2 linked regions of the Oreochromis niloticus genome follow. The protein of the gene in region 1 binds, or shares a complex with, the protein of each later gene. Links are inferred from orthologs where the notes say so. Each region holds a gene or a part of one and is shown on either strand. Other genes may lie near its edges. The genes, in order: bcl2l1 and tpt1.

What was found.
Region 2: the proteins of bcl2l1 (region 1) and tpt1 are in contact, whole or in part, in a crystal structure (PDB 4Z9V), measured with the Homo sapiens proteins. The link is inferred for Oreochromis niloticus from reciprocal best matches to the Homo sapiens genes BCL2L1 and TPT1. Residues at the interface, in NP_001304848.1 of Homo sapiens: Ala93, Glu96, Phe97, Arg100, Tyr101, Ala104, Phe105, Leu108, Gln111, Ser122, Gln125, Val126, Glu129, Leu130, Asp133, Asn136, Gly138, Arg139, Val141, Ala142, Phe146, Leu194, Tyr195, Ala199, Ala200, Ser203; in NP_003286.1 of Homo sapiens: Phe14, Asp16, Ile17, Lys19, Ile20, Arg21, Ile23, Ala24, Asp25, Gly26, Leu27, Cys28, Leu29.

What each region holds. Positions count from the first base shown.
Region 1 is NC_031984.2:31,794,608-31,806,947, reverse strand, and holds the start of bcl2l1 (bcl-2-like protein 1), read right to left. Parts: upstream 5,345-12,340; 5' UTR 5,050-5,344; intron 4,250-5,049; exon of another isoform or gene 3,919-4,249; intron 1,321-3,918; 5' UTR 1,098-1,320; coding exon 543-1,097; intron 1-542. Other genes in the region: arfgef2 (brefeldin A-inhibited guanine nucleotide-exchange protein 2), read right to left, coding at 7,405-7,575, 8,287-8,404, 8,839-8,977, 9,280-9,457, 9,845-9,984, 10,095-10,203, 10,403-10,460, 10,610-10,748. UniProt on the Homo sapiens protein: Potent inhibitor of cell death. Inhibits activation of caspases. Appears to regulate cell death by blocking the voltage-dependent anion channel (VDAC) by binding to it and preventing the release of the caspase activator, CYC1, from the mitochondrial membrane.
Region 2 is NC_031987.2:11,358,539-11,370,936, forward strand, and holds tpt1 (translationally-controlled tumor protein homolog), read right to left. Parts: upstream 4,530-12,398; 5' UTR 4,405-4,529; coding exon 4,377-4,404; intron 3,761-4,376; coding exon 3,687-3,760; intron 2,195-3,686; coding exon 2,010-2,194; intron 1,921-2,009; coding exon 1,815-1,920; intron 1,045-1,814; coding exon 928-1,044; intron 723-927; coding exon 720-722; 3' UTR 243-719; downstream 1-242. Other genes in the region: E3 SUMO-protein ligase RanBP2, read right to left, coding at 6,419-6,724, 6,974-7,329, 7,509-7,782, 7,889-8,043, 8,141-8,227, 8,716-8,956, 9,124-9,299, 9,471-9,557 and 1 more. UniProt on the Homo sapiens protein: Involved in calcium binding and microtubule stabilization. Acts as a negative regulator of TSC22D1-mediated apoptosis, via interaction with and destabilization of TSC22D1 protein.

The sequences.
Region 1 (12,340 bases):
GCTGAACTAGCTGCTGACCACACAGGCACTCTTGTTTTTACTGCTTTTAAAGACAAATGTTTCTTGAAGCCAGATGTGTTCCAATTTCCATCTTCATCACATCTAATCTCAAGTCTCTTCTTGGCGGGTTATGGAGCCAGCCACTGTCTCATGTCGACTTGTTAGATTACCGAGACACAAAAAACGATCCTCTAGAGGTCAAGCCACGCAGGCAGGAAAGCCTCACAACTAACACAATGGAGCAAATCTGCTCTTGACAGGGAAACGGCACATATGATCAAAAACACCGCTATCACTATAGCAACAAAAGCAGGCGCACTTCCAGAAGTAGATGGGAAAAGTAAGGGCAGGTTTTAAACTTATTTTCCACCTGACTGCTGCCAGCTGTGGGTGCATAGTAAAAGTGGCAGCAAGGAAATTTTCCATGCTGGCGACCTGAGCTTACCTTGCCTGTGTAATTAAAGGCCACAATGTTAAAGAGCCCTTTTATGAAAGAGGCTATACAAGCAAACGGCGTGTGCGCTTCTGTGTGTGTGACTCACCCATCCTCCTTGGCTCTGGATCCAGGGCTGAATGTGGTTGTCTAGGTAGACGGTCATCCACTCTACGATCCTGCCCACCAAGGGGCTCATCTCCTTCTCGACGCACTCAACACACAGTGCCCCGCCGAACGCAAAAAGCCCTACGATGCGGCCCCAGTTGACGCCGTCCCGGAACACCTCGTCCATCACGTTCTCAAAGCTTTGGTAGGCCGTGGCCGGCGTGATGTGCAGCTGGCTGTGAAGGTCGCTGAAGGCACGAGCGTATCGCAGCTCGAACTCATTGGCCGTGTCCCGGAGCGCCTCCTTCACTGCGTCGAGGTCCGTCGTTGATGGCGGCTGCTGCTGCCGCTGCGGGGATGCCGGAGGGGTCCCGGGACTCGTGCCATTAAAAGTCCCATTGGCGTGTGTGTCTATTCGCTGTTCCTCATCCAACCCCGCCGCCCCCCCATCAGTCCTGTTCAAAGGCTCGTTGAGTACTATGTGGTTGAGAGGATAGTTTCTCTGGGAGAGTTTATACCTTATGTAGAAAAGCACCAGTTCTCTGTTTTGAGACATTTTGTATTTAAATGTGCTTTTTTTGTTTTCCCCTCCTCTTTGCTCCGGCTCTTCTCTCTGCTCCGCTTGTGGTCAAGCTTCGCTGTGTTAGAGTGTACACACACTGCGCCAGGCTTTTTCTTTTCCTCCCGTTTTCTCTGTTCAGACCACCATGGTCAGCTGATATCCACGGGACACTTGGGGGGTGAAAACCAAACCTACACAAGGCTGCACGGCTCAGGCCCTGCAGAGACACAACGATGAAAGGTCAAAGTCTGGATTGCTTATATCCAGGATTACGTCTGTGTGTGTGTGTGTGTGTGTGTGTGTGTGTGAGAGACTGTATAAGGAGAGTGGAGAGCGTAGGGACGACTGTGAACCTTCAAATTAAATTTGGACAGGTAGGGTCAAAGTGCGTCTCTCTAATTGGGCTGTTACATATGAAGCAGATGGGATGATATTAATGAGACGACAGCAGAGAGAATGTGTGTGTACACACGCGCGTGTGTGTGTTTGTGTGTCAGAGAGAGAAAGAGAGAGACAAAGTGAAAGGAGGCGTGAGGAAGGTGAAGACAGTCTGGCTTGAAGCTCCACATAGACATCCTAATCAGTGACCTCTGACCTCTGAGGGAAGCTTTCACTCCGTTATTCTCTCGCTCACACACGTGCCCTTAAATCTCCACACAAAACTGACTCTGTCATATTTCCAGCCTCCTCCTCATTACTGGCGTTGGAGGTTGCAGAAGTATTAACGACGCATATATATGAGCTTGCATTATGGGCCCGTCTGACAGCTTTAGCATGAACGTGTGGTGACAGTGTTGAACTGCAAAATAAAAAGTGGTAATAAAAACTGTATAGGAGATGCTGTGCTGCCACTCTCAGCTAGCAGGTTTGTTCTCATCAAGTTAACTTAAGTTTATGTTTCAGCGGCTGACTAAAAACAGCCTGAGTGTTGTTAAATATACAAAATGTCATGAACTTCCTCTGAACTCAAATTCTGGAAATCTATTAGCAAACACATGCAGCAATAACCTGAGTAATTTGGTCCTTTTAACCAGTGATGTATCAGACTGCTGTTACTTCAAACATTCTGCTCAGATAGGTCACGCACAGGTCAAACACATGTTTGGTAACTTTGTCAGCGAAGAAATGTTTAAAACATGTGAACTACCACCGAGGAGAAAGGTCAGCATACCGAACAGGTACGCACCCACAGATCAGATTCATATTTGAATTGGCCTTGTTGACTCATATCAGTTCACAGATATCAATATCGATACTTATCTTTAGCTGACAAACCTTAAAATATGCGTTTTGTTGTTGTTGTTTTTTTTATGTTAACGTTAAGTTTAAAAATTAAGATAAATTAATTTGTGTTTCTGGAGCAAAATGCAAGAACAAAATTACAATAACAACAACAAAATATCTGTATTAGCTATCAGCCAAATTTTTATTTTAAACATTAGTATCAACCATAACAAAGAGTAACATCCCCCCCCCAAAAAAAACAATAAAGAAGAAGCAGCTTAATATGATTAGAACGTCCATAGTTAGGATGAAATCAACATCTGGTTCTATCAAATCAAATGTTTTCCAGTTAACATTTTAGGCAAAACCGATTTTTTAATGTTTCCAGCAACAATAATGTGACTAATGGATGTTTTATTATTCACATGTATAACAGAAATTTGAATATATCTGGAGTTGTTCCAAATAAAAACATGTAATTTGGGTTGTGGGAAATACAGCCTGACAAGGATATATATCAGCTTTTTTGTCAGGTTATATTAACAGAAGTAAATAAATAAATCACAATTCATATGTGAACAAGAAAGTCTGTGGAGAAAAGCTCCTGCACCCTCAGTTATTACTTTCACATCCCTGACAGCAGCCTAATAACGTTAGCGATGTTCAGTAATACAAACTGCTTTATTAATCATTTCCGTTCCCTTCCTGAAGCCTCTAAATTGAGTTTAGGTCCCTGAAACAAAGACTCTGTGAGAGCAGTTGACTGCCCAGCCCCTTCTGTAATGTGCTGTCACCATACCATACTCACTGGTACACACAAAAAGACGTGGGAGGGATGTGACCCGCCGGTGATCCCAAACTGTCTGCTTATCGTGAGGGAGCCTGACCTTTCCTGTAGCAATACTGACATTTACGTTGATACGTGGCGGAACCTAATAATCAGGGTGCCCGACCGCTGGGAGGGAGTTCCATGCAAATAGCGCTGGTGACATTACATAATACAATATATTCCTAACAGCACAATAGAAGCACGATACAGTGTCAGCTGGCTCCGAGCTATGGCAGAAGCAAACTGCCCCCCCCGACAAAAAAACTCACTCAAATACACCCAGCTGACTACTTAGTCCGCATTTGGGTGGTAAAAGTAACAGAAAGAGACCGTTACAGCACATAAAGACCCACAAGGCAGCAGTGTTTACAATGGCCACATGGTCCCCAGCTACCTACACGTGGCTCGGGTTTTAATGGGCCAGCACTGATGTAAACACCACACAGCTCCTCAAGGAATACCAGCGAATCGCGACCAAATGTAGCGCCTGAACGCGACATTAACTCAAACATTAACTTGGTTCACTTAAACTGGAGTCTCTGCTGATGTTTTTTACGGTGGAATTTAAACTGTCCTTTTACACATTAACCAGCCAGAGCAGTGTTGAAACATGCTACTCCCTCTGGTGGCGCACTTAAAGCTTGTGTCAGCTCCCCCACCGTCAGGATATTGATGTATATTTAATTTTTTATTATTAAGTGGCGTTTTAACACCGTCAAAAATATAAATATAAGGATTAAAGGTCATTCCCGAGTGTCTTACCAGCAACTCTTGATATCAAACCCGGGGGGGGAGTGCTTTTCTCCGTACACGGATCCTCTCGGTGAAAACGTCCCGAATCTGTCAGACAACCCCGTCTGTCGCTTTACGTGTACAAAAGCTGTCAGAACACAAGATAGGTACTTTGTGCTCAGGACTGTATTTGCACGTATCCTCCTACGTCCCCCTCCTCTCTTTGCATGGACAGCCCTCCCCCCCGATTGCGTAACACCGACGCTTTTATGGATGCCTCGTTCACGATCGTGTCGAAAATTCTCGTACGTGCACGACTTAAAAACAGTACATATATGATATTACTCGCTCCAGTAACCTCTTAGAGATAATTCAAGCGTTAGATATTTTAAAATTTAACAGCTAACAACTCGTTAGAAAGATCGATACAATTTATTACATTTTTCAATTCGATTCAATTGAAAGGGACGTTTCTTTGCACTGTCACCGGTTATTCACAATGTATCTGCCTTAACGCGTTTAGCACAATAAATTACATATACATAACAAACCTGAAGTACCGGTTTTCACCGTAGTTTAAATAAACTCCACTCTGTCTCTGTATTCCACACACATTTTGATATTTCTAATGAAAACTGTAGGGGATCCCTTGAACGCAACACAATTCCATTCCAAGACCTTTAATCGCATCTCGTTAGAAAAATGCCACTTTGCGACAACACCCTGCTTTATATAGACGACACCACCCCCGCAATTAGCATTGCAACACTAAAATTCCTAAGTAAGCCATTATGACAGAGACTGCTCCGCCTGTACTAACGCGGCTGTAGTCAGCTTGTGAACATGGCTGTCACTGTCATATACATGTAGTCGCACATTCGCAGACTGCAAGATTGAAAAACATACATTTTCCGAGGCAAAACCTTTTACTACAATGAACACTTATAGTTTGCACAAAGCAGAATTACATTTTGACCCCGAAAGCTTTGGGGAGGGAACGAAAGTATCGCTGCGCGTTTTTTCCCTAATCTGTCGACCTCTTTCCTCTCGCAGGATTCAGATAGGAAAATCCACCCTCTGCCATTCCTCCTCACGTTATTTCACCGACGCCATCAGCACAGGGATCAGAATTACACTTGTACATCGAGCAGAAACTCTTACTTGTAGGGTGGTCTTCATATAATCATGTCTGGTGGCTCACAATCCAAACCCCGGCTGGATCAACCCTATCCGTCATTGCTGGCCCGTCTTGCGGAGGAGGTCTAGCTCAGCTACTGGTTACCGCAGATCCGCCCACAGCTACGCTTTCTACGTAACCAACCGGTGCCAGTCAAGCCTCACTGCAACTAGCGGGATCATTGCTTTTTTCTAACGTCAACACTCCGCCACAAATGCATTAACGGAGCTGTGCCAGTGTCGCTGAGATTTTCGGGTTGTTTCCCAGCGTGAACTACGGGCTAGCCAAGGCTAGCTTGTATGAAGCCCCAGCTAACGCTAGCCGGCTAATATTAGCGCTAACTTGCTAAAAGTGCGCTAGTTGTAATGCTGAAGCGTCACATCTGACACACAGACATAAATTATTTAAGTCGACCATTGATGGCAACTATGACACACTTCATCGTTTACATATTAACTTTAAGGTTTATTTCTTTTTACTTTGTTTTTTTTGTTTTTGTTTGTTTTTTTTCATAAAAGGGCCCATGTAGCAGCTGTTTGGCATCTTTACACTTTAGATAACAAAAGACGTGAGGTCTCCATAGTAACCTTTGTTACCCCAAACCCTAGCACGCTTCAAGGTGACTACCAGTTTGATTGCAGTGCCACCCTGTGGACATCTTGATATACCCACACGCTTCTACATTTTAAAACATTTAGAGAGTTTAAATTGGCTTTATTTGGTCATGTCATAAAAAGCACGTGCAATAACAGCAAATTTAATGACGGCTCCATTCCACACCGCATTACCAGCCTCCCTTACCATTAGAACTGGAGGTCAGCAAACTCAGCACTTAATGTTAGGTGGCACCACCTGTGTTGGTCACCCTCTAAACAGCTTTAAAACTGCACCAACAGACACTGAAGTAGATCAGAACTCAGGTTTATTGATTACGTCACCAAATGCTTAGAAGATTACATCACAATATTATGTATAGAACCGTAGAGCACTTTCATTTCTATGTATCTTACATTGAAAACTTTACAGTCTGTATTTTTTTTCATTTACTGTATATATTTATATATATTTATATATTCCCTAGATTTAGGGAAGTAGACATCCATAGTTGCGAGGGAAGGAATGCTTTTCAAAAAATATTTAAATGCACTTTAAATAATTACATACATCCTTCTTTTTTTAAAATAAAAAAAAGAAAGGCATGGAACAAACTCGAAATGATCCAGGATGCAGAGATGCTGGAGCCTCTGTGGATGCAAGTTTTGGTTTTGCTCTGTCAAACTAATGTGGAAGAGGGTCAACACTAAAGGGAGTTCTAGGCATCCAGTGTAAGTCGTTACACTGTGTCATGTTAATACCTGAACACACTGTAAAAAATAAAGATATGGACAACTGTAGTATTCTAGTCCAACTGATGGATGTGTGCAGGTTTTATCAGTCCACTGTAAAGCCAGGAGAAGTCGACCCCAGTGTAAGGCTGACTGGGTCAACACACGCGGGAATGCACAGCAGAGGGAAGCAGCCAGTATATCAACCATCCGTACACTGTAAACCAGCAATTATCCAAACAATAACTAAAGAAAGTGAGCCAAATAAATACGTAAAATCTCATCGATAGGCAAGAGGTGACAAACGTGACGGGATGGCAGTGTCACACAGATCTCCCAATTAAAGATCACTGATAGTGTTGTAAGAGGCGCAGATTGGTTTCTCCTGCAGTTGTGAGGTTCAGCCTTTTCAACAACCTCCTTGATATTAACACAGATATGAGAGTTCAATAATGCTTCAGGATTGACACTAACACAAGGAACTTATTTTGATTAGATCACCTTTTTTCTTTTTTTCCCCCAAACAGGCACAGGTGGCCAGAATTTATCTTTTACTAGAGCAAATGCAAGGAAATCAAATTCAATGAGATTTTTCATTTCCTTTCAGCATATAGACATTTTTCTTTTTGTTTTAAAGTATTTAAAAAATTAAGCAGGAAAAGAAAACGCTCAAAAATCTGTGAAAGGGTTTGCAATAATATCAATAAATTATTTGTTTACAGTTTTTTCAAGATGACAGTCAGGGGGATGATAAATGACTACAGTCAGCAGAGAGTGCTGGTCACAGTGCTGTTCATCTCCGAGATAAAGAGGATGGCCAGGGATCCGGGCGAAGGTGTTTCTAGCTGCCGAGCGCAGCCGAAAACAGAAATACTCAACGCAGAGTCCCAGCGGGAAAGCTTGTCTTTATCAGCCATCTGTGATCCGATCCGGTCCAATCAGAGGTATAGAGTCTCTCGGAAGTTGTGTCCATCTTCTCACCAGCGCTCGCCGTTTCCCTGTCCACCCACCTTCTTAGGATGCGGGAGTCCGGGCGGGCGCTCCCTCTGGATGAGCAGCAGCGATGTGGAAGACGGAGCCAATGCGCAGGAAGAAGCGCCTGAGGACAGCCCGCAGCTCAGGGATCAGGTCAAACTGCATCATCTCACACAGGTGGGGGTAGTAGCAGGACGCGTGAGGCTTGAACTGGAACAAACAGGAGAACATTTAGCTAAAGACTCAGACATTAAAAAAAACAACCAAAACAAAACAGTGTATTTGGAAAAATATACAAAATGAGGGGTGGTTGCTGACCACTAGGTTCACAGCAGGGTGTTTAATTAATATGTCGACAGTGATGCATGTTTGTTGCTGTTTTTTTCCTGCTTTTAACAACAATTTCACGGAATTATGAAACGTTCCCAAAACTCAAAGTAGGGATTGCATAAGAAAGCGGTGCCGACCAGTCCACTGTAACAATACTGGTCTAGTTTTTGTTGATGCAGTGGTTTGTTGGCTGGCTGCACGGCGCCAACATTTCCTACTACTTGTGGCTGCACGGTTCTGGTTTTGGTCTAAAATGACCTGGAAAGGCACCTCAAGTCATGCGCTGCCATGAATCATCATGCACATTCTCTAAATACATAATTCATATGTACTCACAAAAATGACATCAATTCAAAAGGATTGAACTAATAACATATTTTTGCTTGGGAAGAACTGATCTTTTTTTTTTGTACTTTTATTTTATTGTTATTCAATTCAGTGGGGAGGAGGCAGCGTGAGTTGGAGAGTGTAGCACAGGTAAAGCTTTACTGAACAAATACTTTATGTAACACTACACTACTACTAATACTCTTTCCCCAAGTTGTTACTAATGTGTATTTGGAGGTGTGCTCTGTGCGTGTGCGTTCCTGCCTTGTCATCGGGCAGCCGCAGCGTCCTGGTGAGCAGCAGCATCAGCAGGCTGTTCCAAGCCTCTCTGTGGCTCTCTGAGGTCAGACTGATGAAGTAGCCCAGAGCTTCATTACACACCCTGAGAGAGATGACACAACACAGACGCACATACACGATTATGACAAACACAAAGCTGTCGGTATCAGTGTTGCTGCACAAAACTGATTATCAATCCGCATCATCTTTATCATAGAGGCAGCTATTTCATGATGATAAACGTCTCACATGTGTGTTCTTGATGCAATACGTGAGTCATCGCTTACAGCGACAAACACGACGAGGTGATATGTGCCCGGCTTTAGCATGCCAATATATTACACGAAATGCGCACGCAGAGTACATTCATAAATTTATAATGAGGTATGAGCTGTGTGTCAAAACACAGGAACAAACAGCAGCGCTGCCCTTTCTGCCAGTGACACACTCGGTGCTTATTTATCTAAGGTTTAACATTTAACCGGTGATGACACACAGGAAACACTGTGAGAAAGTGCAGGAGAGCGTTTCACTCACAGCAGCAGGCGTGTCTGGATGTCGGGCCACGAGTCCTGCAGCTGAGGGTCCGAGTACATCCTGAACAAGATCCTGAGGCTGCAGGCTAGACTGCTGGTCTCCTGCTTCAGTAAGTTGGGCTTAGATTTCCCTTTAAACCCTGAAAGGTCACCAGAGAGATGACAGCTGTTAAATCAGTAACAGAGGCTTGTAGTTAAGACGTGTCCCATTTCGCTGCATATCACGGTGTTCTCCACGCTGCCTTTCCTTTCTGTATATCTATTGTTTATCAAAAAAACAAAACAAAGGAAGTGAAAATAACACTGGGCTGGATATACCATTACTCTTCCCACTATTTACTGATAGTTCTCCTCTGTTTAACGTAAAGCTATAAACAAAGAACCTTCTGAACTGTAACGTGCACAGGACAGAGAATCCTGGGGGCTTTCCCTTGGTTTTTACCTGCCCTCCAGAGTGCCGTCCTCTGTTCGTTATTGGAGTTGAAGTCTTTGGCAAAGGTGTGTGACTCCAGCAGGCAGTCCAGCAGCTTGAAGAGGTGTGCGGACGTCATGTGTCTGTACATGCCCTGATCTGGACCCGACTCACGCCCCTCAGCCTCCGACTCCTCCAGAGCATCCCGCTGGCACGAGGAAAAAACTTTAGCATATATGATTTTATAATAGTTATAAAAATAAGGCTGTACTAGCGGACACTGGACATTTCTGGTCCCTAGGCCACTGGTGGCCTACTGAAACCCACTGGGACTGTGCACACACTCATTTAATTGGATTAACTCAAGCTAACTACAAATTTTTAGCAGAACTATTTTTTCCTGAAACATTTGTCCGTGGCTGCTTCCACATTTTATCTGCACCACCTCATATTAAAATTGTAAAGGTGAAGAGCAGGAATACATTTTCACTCTCTTTTCTTTGGTTCGCCTCTTCAGCTCATTCGGGATTATGATTTTGTGATTATGAATAAAAGTGACACACTGACATAGAGTGGGTGAGGTGCCAAGCTTTACCTGCGCAGCAGCCATATTATCAGCATCCTCCTTCTTGCTGGTGGCTGGGTAGAAGACAATGTTGTCGACGGTCTGTATTAATTCAAGCTGCACGACGCATTTGATCAGCAGGCCTGCAAACAGCCTCTGGTCTGAAACTCCTGCAGCAGGGAAAGGTATTTAGAAAGGTGTGGAGATATGAGCCCTGGAATTCATGCTGAGATTATTCATTTTACAGACTGAATAAAAACGCATGCGCCCGTTTGCTTACTGGCATTGCTTCTGCCTTTCCAGGTGTCATCACTGGACATCTGGCTGTGTCCTCTCTCGGAGAGCGCTCGGTCGTAGCTGCTCTGTGACTGAGTGTCGAAATCAGCATCCTGGAAATGTACAGGAGCGACAAAATACACCATGAACACAGACACAGGTTAGTGTCTGACATAGTGGAAACAGTGTGAAAAGGAGAGTTCTTTTCATTGGTTAAAAGTAAACTATATGAAGCATGTGCAGAGCTGCTGCTGTGCATAGTCATCGTTTAGTCACAGGGAGAACTTGGTGAGGTTTTTTGTTTCCTCTTACAAAGTGTTTCGCGTCAGCTGCTTCCTCATCCTGTCCAGCCGGTCGCCAAGTCAACAAACTGGTTTGGAAAGCAAAAAAATCCACAATCATGTGACAGCACAAACGCAACAGTAACTTTTACACACACCAATTTTTGAACGCCCATTAACTTAGTGATGCCATCTTTTACACTTTAACTGAACTCGAGTATAGAAGATCAGCACTCACGCTTGAGGGCTGGTGTTTTGGAAGATCTCCAGCATACAGGAGCATGTTATGTCCCACACCTCGGGGCTGAACTTCTCCCCATTCAGGATCACCAGGTTCTCCAGGCAGTTTGTCCCGGACCGAGCCAGCTGCTCGTTGTCTGCAGAAAAGACAGAACAACTTCAGAACATATCTGCCTCACTGGGATAGACTCCAGCACTCCCGAGATCCAGAACTGGATAACGCACGCAGGTGCGCCGCCTGTCAAAACCTTAAAGCTGTGCATGAAGTAAAAACTGAGGAGAAAATTCTGCCCGCTCCAAGGTGATGGAGCGGGCACCTTGAAAGTACAGTTTCACATGACCACATAGAAGCATTCGTTACCTGTTTTTCTTCATGTGCCACCCACCATTTTTATGATTTTTCTTAAAAAAAAAAAAAAAAAAAAAAAAAATCGCCCCAAAATTCTAAAACAAATTGACTGACTTTTATTTTATTGCCCCTATTCACATTCATACACATATCTGAAATATCACCTGCTCTAACTCTGGGCTGTGAACATAAAGTTCTGAGTCTCTGTCCATTAGAAAAGAAACCCTCAAAACTACTTTAATTAAAACCCATGTAATTTGCAGGCTCCTATGGCACCTATGAATGGCTTTCAGCAGACCTGCTAGTTTTTAACACGTCGTTCTGGAAGTCCCGCTCTGACCCTTTACACTTTATGCCTCTGTAAGGTCTACTGTATCACTGTTAAGTTGAAACCGCTATCCATCCTCTTCCACTTATCCAGTTCTGGATCTCGGGAGTGCTGGAGTCTATCCCAGCTGCTGTAGGGTGAGAAGCAGGCTACAACCCTTGACAGTCTTGATACTCCCCACTAACTGCATGTCACTGAACGCCCCACGCAGACACAGGGAGAACATGCAAACTCCACTGCCCTGATGGCAGATTTGAACCACTGACTTTGTTATGTGTCCACAGTGCTAATCACTGTCCCAACACCACTTCCCAAAAAGCAGCAATCCCTTCAAGGTAAATTTTAATCATAGGGAAGAGAACAAAGAGACAGGGAACCAAATCTGATGAACAAGTGGCACAAGTGGCCAAAATACACCTTATGCCTTTTCTACTGTTCAGCAGAACTCAGAACTTTAACAGTAGAATTCATTACTGGTTGTAGCTGGACCCAGCTCTCATCACAAGTAACCACTGTTGACATGAAGGTCAGGTCAGAAACAGAAGATGTTTGCTAACCATCAAGTGGACAGAGATGGTAGCTTATTGGAAACGTGTGCAGAGGTACATGAGTAGAAGAGCTTGAAGATTTTATATTTGTATGGGTGTAGTCCCAGAACTCTCAGTTAGTTGGAGTTTAGGGTGGGGATAATACTGACAAACCAAACAGGTTCAACTCATTAATGTTCCACCTGCTGCTCTATGACAGCTGGGATAAGCTGCAGCCCCCTTGTGAAATGATTGATAAAACGTAGAAGATGGATTGGTATTTGGATGCTTTAGGAGAGTTTTTTTTCCTCATCAATAAAATAATCCAAAGAATATAAATAATGTTGTTTGAGAGGGCAGAGATGTTCCGACCGCTTACTGTTCTTCCTACATATGAGATATATCATCAGGACACCAGCCTGCACACCTAAAATAGAACAGGTGTTAGCGCTCTGCCTCATGAGCTTTAAAGGTTGTTTGTCAGGACAGAGGAGTGTAATGAGCAATGACGATGATGAACACCTA
Region 2 (12,398 bases), on another chromosome or scaffold:
AAGCCCACACATTACATTGCCAGCAGCTACTGGCTGTGACTGTTCTGCACTTCACAAAAACCTGAGAATCAAAAAGGTGAATGAGAAAACCCAAAGACAACTGCACATGAGATCAGCTTGTCAAAGCTACAAAAGCATCTTTTCAAGCAATTCAAAAAGGATATTCTGAAATTCAACCCACAAACTGCCTGTTTGCAGCACTAGAAGTGAAGGTTGTCACAGAAATACAGAGAAATGAAATGGAAAGTTGTGGTACTCGTTTTTATTCGTTTTCAAATTAAACCATAAGTCTTTATTGTAGATGGAATCTTATTTAATGCAACCACAAACCCAAACTCAAAGGGGTCCGGTGATGCCAACCTGTATGGATCGTTGCTAAAACAGTTATGCAGACAAAAAACAAATGTCTTCTTTCAGCCAGTCAGAGCTTTGCTCGCTGTCCAGCCTTTTGTTTCAATCACAAAAACTGGGCCAATCCTGGGACAAAAATCAAACACTGCAAAAGCCAAAAAGAAAAGGTTAAAAACTGTATTCGGTGACTAATCATGTTTGATTCACCCCCCAGGTTTGGGAGCGGTTCTGTGGGCCGTAATGTGAATATTTAAGAAATTGGACAATGTTTCTGTTCAGGCATGATGCAAGGTAGTGCTCCTCCAGTCTGCTTTGTAGGCCATTTTGGAAGCAGCAGTCAGGTAAATGGCAGATGTAATTCCAGGTAGTTACTGTGGGAAAGAGAGAGGAACAGTGTGTAGTTATTAAATTTAACCATCTACCATCAAGTAGACAGCAGGCATGATTTTACAAACATGGAACATTCATTTAGAAATCCAGACTGTGTGTGTGTACTGTGGCATACTGATGTTCTCCAGCAGGAACACTTTGTAGTTTGAGAAATGTATCAAGTCTTTCCCACTTCATAGCACTTACGCATTTTTCGATCTCCAGGCCATCTTTGAAGAAAAGCATGAATGGTGTGATGCCATCCTCACGGTAGTCCAGCAGACCAACCATGCCCTCTGGGTTCATGGACTCTCCTGTGAAAAACTGCAAGCAAACAGCAACCATTAGACCTTCCTCTCAGTTCTATAGAAAGACTGAATTAAAAAACAAGTTCCGATTACAAAGATTTGCAAATCTCAAACCCATAATTTATTCACAGTAAAACACAGAAAATGCCAAATTTTTAAATCTAATAAAATATAATTTCAAATTTGGCAGCTTTTCTTGAATTTGATGGCAGGGGCAAGTCTCCTCCTCCCATCAAATGTACCTTCATTGAGTCACAGATTAGGTACGTTTCATTAACAAGCTTCGGGATGCTGGCTGTCAGCCACAGATCAACATGTCAAAGAACTGACATGTTTATTTCAAACAAGCAAGCTGGTTAAACTTGTCTTTTTGACACTACTTAACAGCAGCACCCAGTCTAGATGTCAAGTATTCACACTATGTTATCACACACAGTCTATAAAGCTACAAACTGACAAATGATAGAGGCAAATACACCTCCAGGATAAAAACATTAGCAACTGATGATGACTCACAAAAAATCTGTCAGCTGAGATTTTCCCATAAACTGAATTGCCACAGTTTTCAGAGAGCTTCAGCTACATGATTCAACTCAAGTTTTGTATAGAGACCCACACACACAAAGTGACATGCAGGCCTTCCTACGAGACTTGAAAATGTCACTCAAACTCAAATTTTAAGGGTTTCAAAAAAATACTGTAGTTACTGTATTCGCAAGGCAAAACTTTACATTTACTTTTGGTGTGAACATGGTGTAAAATGCCATTTCATCTCTGTATAGCTACCTGGTAGTTCTTGATGTTCCCCAAGATCTTCTTGACTTCTGGTTGGATGTCAGCCATAAAGCTCTCCACTCTATCTGGTTTGGTCTCTTGCAGCTTGGCCTTAACACTAGACATGCAAACAGACGCGTTCATTTAACAGAGCCAAAGATCATTCAAAACCAGAACTCCTCCATACTGGCACATCGAGCTACTCACGCCTTCACATAGTCCTTAATGTAAGTCATGTACTGCTTCTTGTCAAAGCCCGTCTCCTGCAGTTTGTGGTTCAGGACGATGTCGACACCGGAGATTGTGGAAGACTCGTTGCCCTCGGTTGCTTCCTCGGCAGAAGCGTTGGCTGCAATTAGAGAATCATCAAACCCTTCTGTCCTGGTGACGGTCTGTAGTTGAGGAGAGGAAGAAAAATGAAAAAACAATTATTGCTGGTGCATCATAGCAAGGGCAATAGTAAATGATTGGGAAATACCAATAGATCAGTTGGCCTTCAATTCAGTATTTTTGAGCTATTTAAAAATGTATAACTAACAAGAACAGCCGGCTGACTCAAATGTTGTCGCCTGCGACAGTTTCCCAACCCCTTCGAGGCTAAACCTCATTACTATAGTATTCGTCATTATACCTGAAGCAGTTTATCTGTTGCATTTATGTACTTATGGGAAAAAAAAAAAAAAAAAAAAAAGCATACACATAAATACAGCCCTTCGTCATACACATCTTAAAATTTACCCTAGGATATTATTTAGCAAAACCCTGATCCGCCATTCTGATCTGAATCACATCTTTTGTTTAAACATAAATGTTACTTTTTTTGTTAACTTAAAAACAAAGGTTTAAGTATTTGCTTGGTAACTACTTCACCTAGTTTCTTTGACTAATTTTAAAGTATGCTTAAAGACAAATACCAGGCTAACATGATACTTCAAACTGTTCTAGTATTTTAAAAATAAAATTTGTCTGATTCTTAGGCAGGTTAAGGACCTTGAAGTTACGCTATTGGAGACCTGCAACTATGATTCATCTTCAGTCATAGTCAAGATGACGTCATGGAAGTACACCCAGAAATCACATGACTCACTCCAAAAAACATCTACCAAATCTACTTTAAACATAAGTAGTGGCCCATCCTGAATAATAATACCAAAGCTATAAGAGAAATTACAAAACTGGGGAATAGATTTAAAAAGAGCAGACGCTTGTACATTATTTGTTAATTACCATATGATCTTGTCCCGGTGTTTTAGATGCAAGCTCAGCCAAGACAGAAACAAATAAAATGCTGGTACCTTTATTTTTCCCCCTTTATCCCCCCTATCCCCCTTTGTGGTCAGCTTTCCCCACCCCAGTTTCTCTCTCTCTTTTTGGGTGAGTGTGTTGGTATTTGTCGCTCAAATTCCAATTGCTTTGTACATATGTCCATTCCAATAGTTTCAGCAGTCTCCTTCCAGTAATTAGCTGTTTCTATGTTATATTAATACGATGATTATTATTATTCTTTATATTGAGATAATGATGGCTACTCTCTCAGTAATGAACTCAAAAACTGGTTAAAAAGTAGCCAGAAGCCACTCACAGAAGGAATGGACAGTACTGAAGAGGCCAACACAACAGTCGTGGGCTGTATTGATCTAATGTGTTGTTACATTTCTAGTGAGGTCTGCACCAGATAACGGTGTAATTTCCTACCGAAGCATAAATCCCTAATAAGGGGCAGCTTAAAGCAGCTACTTATTCGCTGATGTTTTATTAAAACACCTTAGTTTTGGGTGTATGCCAACTACACTTTAAATTTCACTGCAAAGCAGCAATGAACCAGCTGTTGGAAAAAGGTGAAACTGGTTAAATCCTCTGTTGAACATGTGGTGGCGAACTCACCTTTCCTTCAACCTCAAAGAAGATCCCGTTTTCACTTTCTTTGACTTTAAAGGCATCTGAGAACATCTCATCACCTGTAGAAGGAAAAGGGAGGAAGGAACATATTACAACACTCCAAGCTAACATCATGATTTAAAAGAACAAAAGCAGCAGCAGAGGCTTATATGTTATCCACAATTCAAGGCTGAATCTTGTGCGATTAAAATAAAATGTGAGGCGCAGTGGCGGGGGAACACTAACAATGATTAGTCTAGAAAAATCTGCCGGACAAAAATAAAACTGCAGCAGAGGGGGGGATGCTGAAAGGCCACATACACCACGTTACTTTACCATGACGAACCCCAACAGGAATAGCCCCAACCCCCGGCAACTACCAAGCCACCTCACCGGTGACTGAGCCGGTACTCTTTTACACTTTTATAAAACTTTATTTGAGCCGAAGTGCGGGCAAAGCTACAAGCTAACCGGCCACAATCACCGGCTAGCCCAACAGGGTGGCTAACTCCACATACTCTTCTGATTGAGTTAGCATCTGGCTAGCTAGCGCTAACTTCCGAACCATGACAACACGAGTTAGCTCGTTAGCGTGACCAACTCTCACCTATAACATAACAACACACGTGAAATAACACACGCGACCATCACGCTACCTGGTCAGCGTGAAAGAAGACACGTAAAAAGGTCACTCACCGCTGATAAGGTCCCTGTAGATGATCATTTTGCTGCTTCGGTGTTAATTCTTCCCAGAGACAGAGAGCAGGCCAACCGCCCAAACAGCACGGGAGAGGAAAAAGACCGATCAGGCCGCGAGGCGCTACATTTACATCCTGCTGACGTCACTGTGGGTCGGCTCCTGCTCCGGGTTCTGCCGCCACTTGTGGGTGGTCAGAAGTGGTACTACAGCTATTCTGAGCCTCGCGGTGATTGATTTTTGCAAGTGGGGCTTAAACAACCAGATGGAAAATAATAATAATTTAAATTAATTTTATCTTGGATTATTTTGAATGTTAGTGATTGATTAAAAATTTTATTGTGTGGGGCAGAAACCTGAATAACTAGGAAATTCTGGATCATCACAGCACAAAAGGAGCAGCTTGTAGAATCTGTTGCATGATCTGAAGCTCTTCTGAGGCTCTTTCTTTGAGATTTTTCCCCATGTGACAACCTCCATGGTGGACAAATTCTCATTTCAAGAACCATCTTTACACAAGCATTGAATACGTTATCAGTTGGCAATCGCCCCCGCGAACCATTAGTTGCTGGGGGAAGATGTGTATTCCCTGACCAGTTGGCAAGTTGTTCCTGGGGAGAATTAAGGGGTGCTGCAGCAAAAGCCTTTAGATTCCTTTGGTTGTTAGCAGGTATTGGTGTAGTTTGCATGAAAGACACCAGCCTGAGGAATTGCAAGGAGGTTTTTGGTGTAGTACCATATTTGTTGCAGCCAGTTTTAACTAGCAATTGGCAGCAAACTACAACCATAGTTTGCGGGGGGGGGGGGGGGGGTTCTTGTCTCTAGGCCTGTGTCACTAGGGTTTTATGTTTTGTGCATGACAGATTGCAGCATGAAAAAGCAGTTTGGGCATTTTTGTAATTATCTGACTAGCTTTATGGCTCAACTCGACACTCAACCATTGAGTGAATCTTTTATATACAGTCTGTAGACAACTTATTGCAACTACTCACTTTAAGGTTATACTACTTTACGCTCAATACACTTTCTTTCCATCACCACTGGTAAGTTCCCAGTTTTCAAATAGTTTGATGCTTAAAGAAAAACTTTGACATCCATCCAGCTATCCATTTTTCATCCACTTTGTCACATACAAGACCTGAATGCAAAATCTTTTAAGTGGTGAAATAAGGTCAATGAGTCTAAAAATACCCCGAGTGAACCTGCAAACTGTATCAGAGCAAAATGAAGTCAACAAGGATAAGCCATACAAGCATCGATTATTCGTAAAGCAACTTTATTGTTTAATAATAAGCATATTTTGGTACAAGTGGCACCATTTCAGCCTTTATTTATCTCAAACTATACATGAAATGGATCCCCTTTGTAAAATTCAAACCAGATTATCATTGAGCCACCACAAAGTGAGATTACTTCAGGTTGCATGGGCAAATGTGAAGTCCAATTACCTGCATTGTGGAATCCATTGAAACAGAAAAAAATCCTGTGGGCGCCCAACAGTTAAAAGTACATAGAGGCAGCATTTGGAGGAAAAGGCAGGGGAGCAGTGGCTTAAGACTTGTTCAAAAAGGGGGAAAAAAAATTACCAGAGTGGAGCTCATGGAGGGAACAACTGCATTGAAACAGAGCACATGCAAGACAAAAAGGAGGAACAAACATTTAGAAAAAAAAAAAAAAAATAGTCCATGTACATTTATACACACAAAATACACATGAGAATTTATTGACAGATGATAAAGACGCAAGTGCAAAAGTTTACAACATCTGTTCCAAAAGCCTCCACTCCTTTACCAACTCGCTTCTGTTTTTGTGAAAATGTCAGGACAGTGAAAGAATATCTAATTCAAGGCTACTGTGGACAAGTTTCTGTGATGAACGACTTAACCAGCAGCCCTGTGATCGGCGCCTCGTGACTAAAGATTCAGTTTTAGCAGGAATGTAAGTACTGCACAGGGTACACACTGCTCTCATCCAGAGTCTCAGCTGATCTTAACTTAATAACCTACACCAAGCCGTAAAGCTTCATCTTAACATTAAAATGCTACAGCTGTCCGCAGTCTGTGATGATGATCTTCTTTGTGGGAGTGCCTGCCTTTGAGCCCAGCTCTCCCATCTGCTGCACCACATCCATGCCATCCCGAACCCAGCCAAAAGCCACATGTTTGAAGTCCAGGTGTTCGGCTTTCTTCAGGGTTATGAAGAACTGCGAGTTGTTGGTGTCGCGCCCGCGATTTGCCATCGACAGGATGCCCGGGCCTGTGTGCCGGACATCAAAGTTCTCATCCTCAAAATTGTTGCCGTAAATGGACTTGCCTCCTGTGCCGTTATTCTTGGTGATGTCACCACCCTGAAAGACCAATGGAGCACTTGTTAGTGATGTTAGAGATTTGCTCTTGAGAGTTTTCTTTTAAACAACAGGGCTTACTTTCATGGCATCAATAAAATACTTCATACATCAAATTACAGAGCTGTGCTATGATTACAAACAACAACCAGGGTGTATTTTTGTCAACCCAGAGTAAATCCCACTTTGTTGTAATCAAACAAGTTTAACATTCATCTGATCTTGAAAGTCCAAACCCTGATCTTTCCTCACCTGACACATGAAATCTGGTATGATCCTGTGGAAGATGGAGTCCTGCAGCCCAAAGCCTTTCTCACCAGTGCAGAGAGCTCTGAAGTTCTCTGCAGTTTTGGGTACAATATGTGAGAACAGCTCTACAGTGATTGTGCCCAGAGGTTGGCCATCAGCTGCCAGCTTGAGGAACACCTGTGGGTTAGTGTCTCTGGAGTGCTCCTGAATTCTGGACATCTGTGGCGAGCACAGAGACGAGGCATCACCATCAATTTGGCCCATCCGGTTCTGACACTCGCAGAAGGTCTTTTTGAAGGATTCGGCTATTTCAGGGGTTTTGAACTTGGCCGCCAGCTGCTCAATCACACCTTCGCCATCTGGATAAACAAAAAGGGGGCGAGGAGAAAGAGAGCAGGTGAAGAACAATCCACATGTTGCCTAAAGAAATAAACACATGCAAGTGGTTTAAAAATCCAAGATGAATGATTAGTGAGTATTTACAGACAAGTCACACAACGCGGCACAATACAATGTCACATCGATGGTGTATGTGTACCTGAGTAATCAGTGGCAGTCCAGATCAGTGCGTTCGCTGAGGTGTTCATGGGTTTGAGCTCCATCGCCTGCGAGATCTTGTGGTTGGCGCAAACCCGCAGCACCTGTTCTCTTCTCATCAGGATTCGGTAGAAATGTTTGGTTGGGTGGAAGAGGATCTTGATGTCACCGATGCCGCGCTCCTTCCACTGGCCGATATCCCGGTCCCATCGATACAGTTTGGCACGCTCCTTGAACAGGATCTCCTCGTCCTCCTCTCCAGACTTAGTCTCCACCTGAGTGATAAATACAGTTCTGATGTATGAGATTCGGGGTGGCGCTTCTTTTGTGGAAAAGTTTACTAATTGTTCTAAAATGTTAGGGCTAAGCACGAGCACGTACCTCAGGCAGAGATACTATGGGCTCAAAGTGAATGTCCACATTTTTAGGAGCTTCTTCTTCATCACTTCCCTCCTCATCAGCATTGGTTTTAGGCTGAGAGGCCACTGCAGATCCAAACACTGTTGCTCCAGCATTTGCCCATGAGAAATTAGAATCTACATTTTTTTTAAAGAAAAATTAAAATAATTAGCAGTGAAACAAGACAACAGTCCAGATAAACAACTGAAGAAAATGTTTAATGTTAAAGCCAACCTTTTGATCCAAATGCAAATCCATCTGTATTTTTGGCCAACTCAGCAAAAGAAAAGCCAGATGCATTGAAGCCAAAGGTGGAGATGTCTGCAGCCAGAACAACAAAGACATTAAATACTTAAAAGCCTTTTCCACCCCTATATCTGTCAAAGTTAAAAGGTTAATACAGGGATGATGTATTCTCTAAGTTCATAAAGCATATTAGAATCAAGCTGTGTTCAGAGTGATAAATGAAAATATAATAGAGAATTCTGAAAAGATGGCACCATAATTATAACTTTCACAGGGGGAAAAAAAGCCTTTTTAAAATCATATTTTGGGGTAACTCATTTGAATAAGTCTTCATAATAACTCCCCAGAAACATTCTGAGTATAAAAGAAACCATGTATCCCTTCAGCTGAAATTCTGTCTGTGCAAAAATGTATTCAATATTTATCATTCAATCTAGCTCCTCATTTTAACATTTTTTTCAAATTTAAGTTAAAAGTTGGAGTGAAATCCCATAAAGTATGTGGCTGAAGATGGAGTTATGTTTCATTTGAAAACACTCATGCCGTTTTTCACACTTTTTTACCTCGACTTGTTGTAGCAGTCAAAGATGCAGGTTTAGTCTCAGTGTTGGACTCCAGCTCGACACTCTTCTTAGTTGAGAGGTCAATGGGAGAGCTCCTGCTAGGAGTTGCTGTGGTCTGTTTGTCTGCTGTAGATGTGCTGTCGGCAGCCTCTGCTCTGCTGGATGATGGTCCTGATGCTGGCATTTCAGGGGTCACAGCAGGACTGCTGGAGGCTTCGTTAGATTTGTCTAACTGAGCAACCTGATACAAATTTCCAAATTAATACCCATCTTAAGATGCCTCTGAGTATTACTGACAGAGTAAAATAATTTATTTAAAAAAGTTAACATTTGTTTGTTTTTTTAAAACAAAAGTTGAGTTTCCTGCTTGTATAATCTGAATTATCCATGTAAATTCGGAGCCATTACCAGGACTTCATGTACTTTGCGGACTTCTGTCTCAAAGTCCTCAGGCTTATCCTGGTCCGGGTCGCTGTCCGTGGTGCTCAGGCCACAGAAGAAGGTGGGTGGAAGCTGGAGGCTTTTGGCTTTTTTCTCCTCCTCTGGTGTTGGCTTCTTCTCCCACACCACCTGACAGTCTGACTCTGAATGCAGCAAACAGCAAGTTTAGGCTCACATTTATTAAGGTACACAAATTTTGGACTGTATAGCTATAACAGATCGACATAAAAGCCTTTAACATAGTAGCAGAATTAAACCAAACCAATTGTCTTGAGTTGGATATAATAACATGTAACAGGGTTTAGACTACATACCATCACCACATGCTGCAGCCTTTCTCTCAGGAGGATCAGGGTAGAGCTTTCCATTCAAGGCCTTCACCGCTGATTCGTAGTCTTCATCTGAAGTTTAAAACAAATGTTTCCTTTAATTATGTTTGCAAAGAAAATTATAGCGTTTGTTCAGACTTCTACCCATAAAGAATGAAAGATTAAAGGCAATTTTGTATTCTCAGATTTAAAACGACAGAGGCCAGCTTCGCAGGCATTACTGAACCTTGATGTCAAAGGAGACAACTCCCCCCAAAAACAAAAACTAAAACGAACAAACAAAAAGTCCAAGAAGTCCTTTCTTAGCTTTCTGAATGGGACAGTTACTAGTTTGTCTTATAAAAGCAGAAATTACAGTTTCAAATAATAAAATTTAAATAAAAATTCACTCCAAATAACATGTTTTAATTAAGGTTAAAGTTCCACTTTGATATTTATGTCAGGACAGATGTATATCCTTATACAGAAATACCGTGCATCACATTTTTCACTCATTTAAAAGGATGTCAGAGATCCTGTGGAGTTTCACTAACAGCAGCACTATGGAGTCAAATGTTTGACTCGTATAAAGTACACATTAGTGTCACCTATTTCACACTACTCTGCTGACCAGTTGGCAGCTGTACCAAGCCAAGCAGACAAAGAGTAATAAAAGACAGCCGATGCACTCTTTACATGGAGACAACTTGAACATGTTTGGTATAAATGAGTGAATTACCCAACCTTTAGCTGTATCAGGTTGGATATGAATTGTAAATGGACCATTAAATTTTCACAGCTGGTCTTCAAAGCTCCATCCATCTAAACTCCCAGCAACTCGCATGATTTACTGTTGTTAGGTTTTTTGTTTTGTTTTTTTAAAACATTTTTTTTTTGTTTAACAGAAGATGGCAAAATGTTTCTAGGTGCACTACTGCTACCTTCTGGCTCTAATAGCTCATTACATCATATGTGGGAGCGGTGGCATGTTAAAACAAAAACAAAAACAACAACAACAACAACAACAACAACAAGGGAAAAAGGTGTTATAAGGCCAAAAAAACCAATCAGCTTAATGCAGATTCAAATATTCAAAATAAATGATCAATTATTAAAAAGTCATGTACATCTCTTATACCAGCCTTATTTCTCAAAACTGTCAAATAAGGTGACATTTACCAGTGCCAGCAGCACTTCGGGTGTCACATTCATTTTTGCACTGGATACATTTTTTGGGGTTCAAAAGAAAGAAATAAAAACTGAAAAGCTAACAAAAAATGTCTATATAGCATTTCTTACATCGTCTCCTGGGAATGTTAATGATTCACAAATAAGCAGATTTATTTCAGCGAGTCATATGTACAACCACTGATGTCCACTTTAACAAACCCTCGTTCCATATCTTGGGTCTCACCGTCAGTTTGGTCATCACTGATGTAGCCTGGTTCATTCTTGTAGCAGAAGAAGGTGATGGGCAGCTGGAGCTTCCTAGCTAAAGCTGCCTGCTCAGCTGTGGGTTCCCTGACGTACACAATCTCCACCTCCGAGTCCTCATCAGACCTAGCACTGCTTCCCTCTGCCTGAGGGGATCCTATGATAGATGGATATGATAGGAGTAAACAAGTCAGGCTGGGAAAGAACTTTTGGAAGACAGGCCAAAATGTAAAAATTAAAAGCCTTTACAACCACAGGTGTTAATTACACACACACACACACACACCCCCACACAAAATCATGCACAGCAAAACATCATGCATTTGATTTACAACAGTGAGAGACATGTTTTTATAAGCAGAGGATTTCTGCATGGTCTCGTTTACACCACTTACTCTTGGACGAATGGTATCGTAACATTAAACAGCATAAATACCTGAGCTTTAACTCTAATTAGCCTTTGCTGAGGTAAACATCACTGCCAGAAATCAAACCAGATGAGGAATTACATTTCATGCTGTTGCTACAGACCCAGCACTAAAAATGGCACATGTGACGTTTGCACAGTGCATTCCTCTCTAAAGCAACGCCCTTTGCTCTCAGCTCACCTTTCAGAAGACCTTTCTGCTGCTAGTCTAACTCCCCCACACTACAACTGTGGCATCGTTGTACTCTTGAATTTGGTCTCTCTGATATATACAGGACATGAAATGAAGGGCAGTGTAAGACCTTCCATCCAGACTGAAGACTCATGTGAAACAATAACATATATATAAGTGAACATTTGTTTTTTGCCAAGTCAAATCAAAGAACCTACATGTTTCACTTTTGTACAGATTGTGTATAAGAGATGGATGTAGCCACCATGAAGTCACTGACCAGTTTGTAAAGCTTCGAGTTGAGGTCCACACTTCTCTCCAAGTTGAGAAGTGTGGATCTAGCCATGATGCCACCCATTTGTTAGTGAAGTCCCGCTATAAAGCCTTGAGCTGAGGCTTTCATCATCTAGGTGTTTTAAAGCTGAATGCGACAAAACAAGGACTGGATCTGGCTGCAAACCTGAATGCTCACTGGTCAACAATTTGTGGTTGACAACTCTTTAACCGTGATTAACCCTGCTCCAAAATTGACTTAATGTTATAATTAGTATAACCGGATACTAGCAACTGAGCCCATAAAGGCATCAGGATAGTGATTTTCTATTCAACCCCAAATCGTTTTGAAACTCCTGGGCGCCCCCTGGTGGCCAATAAATAGAAATCTGTAATGTTCTGTGTTGAAGTTGCTTTTAAGAAACGTCCATCTTTTATACCGACCCACACAATTTGTACAAATTTCACTGACATTTGGTCACCAAAAGCTGCTGGTCTGTTCCTGTTTTGACACCCCCTAACGTAGACCAATTTCCAGATTGAATATATGAAACATGATGTTCAATGAGGCTAAAAACTAGCGACTGGGATCTTCAAGAAATCCCTTACTGATGCCATAGAGCAAGGG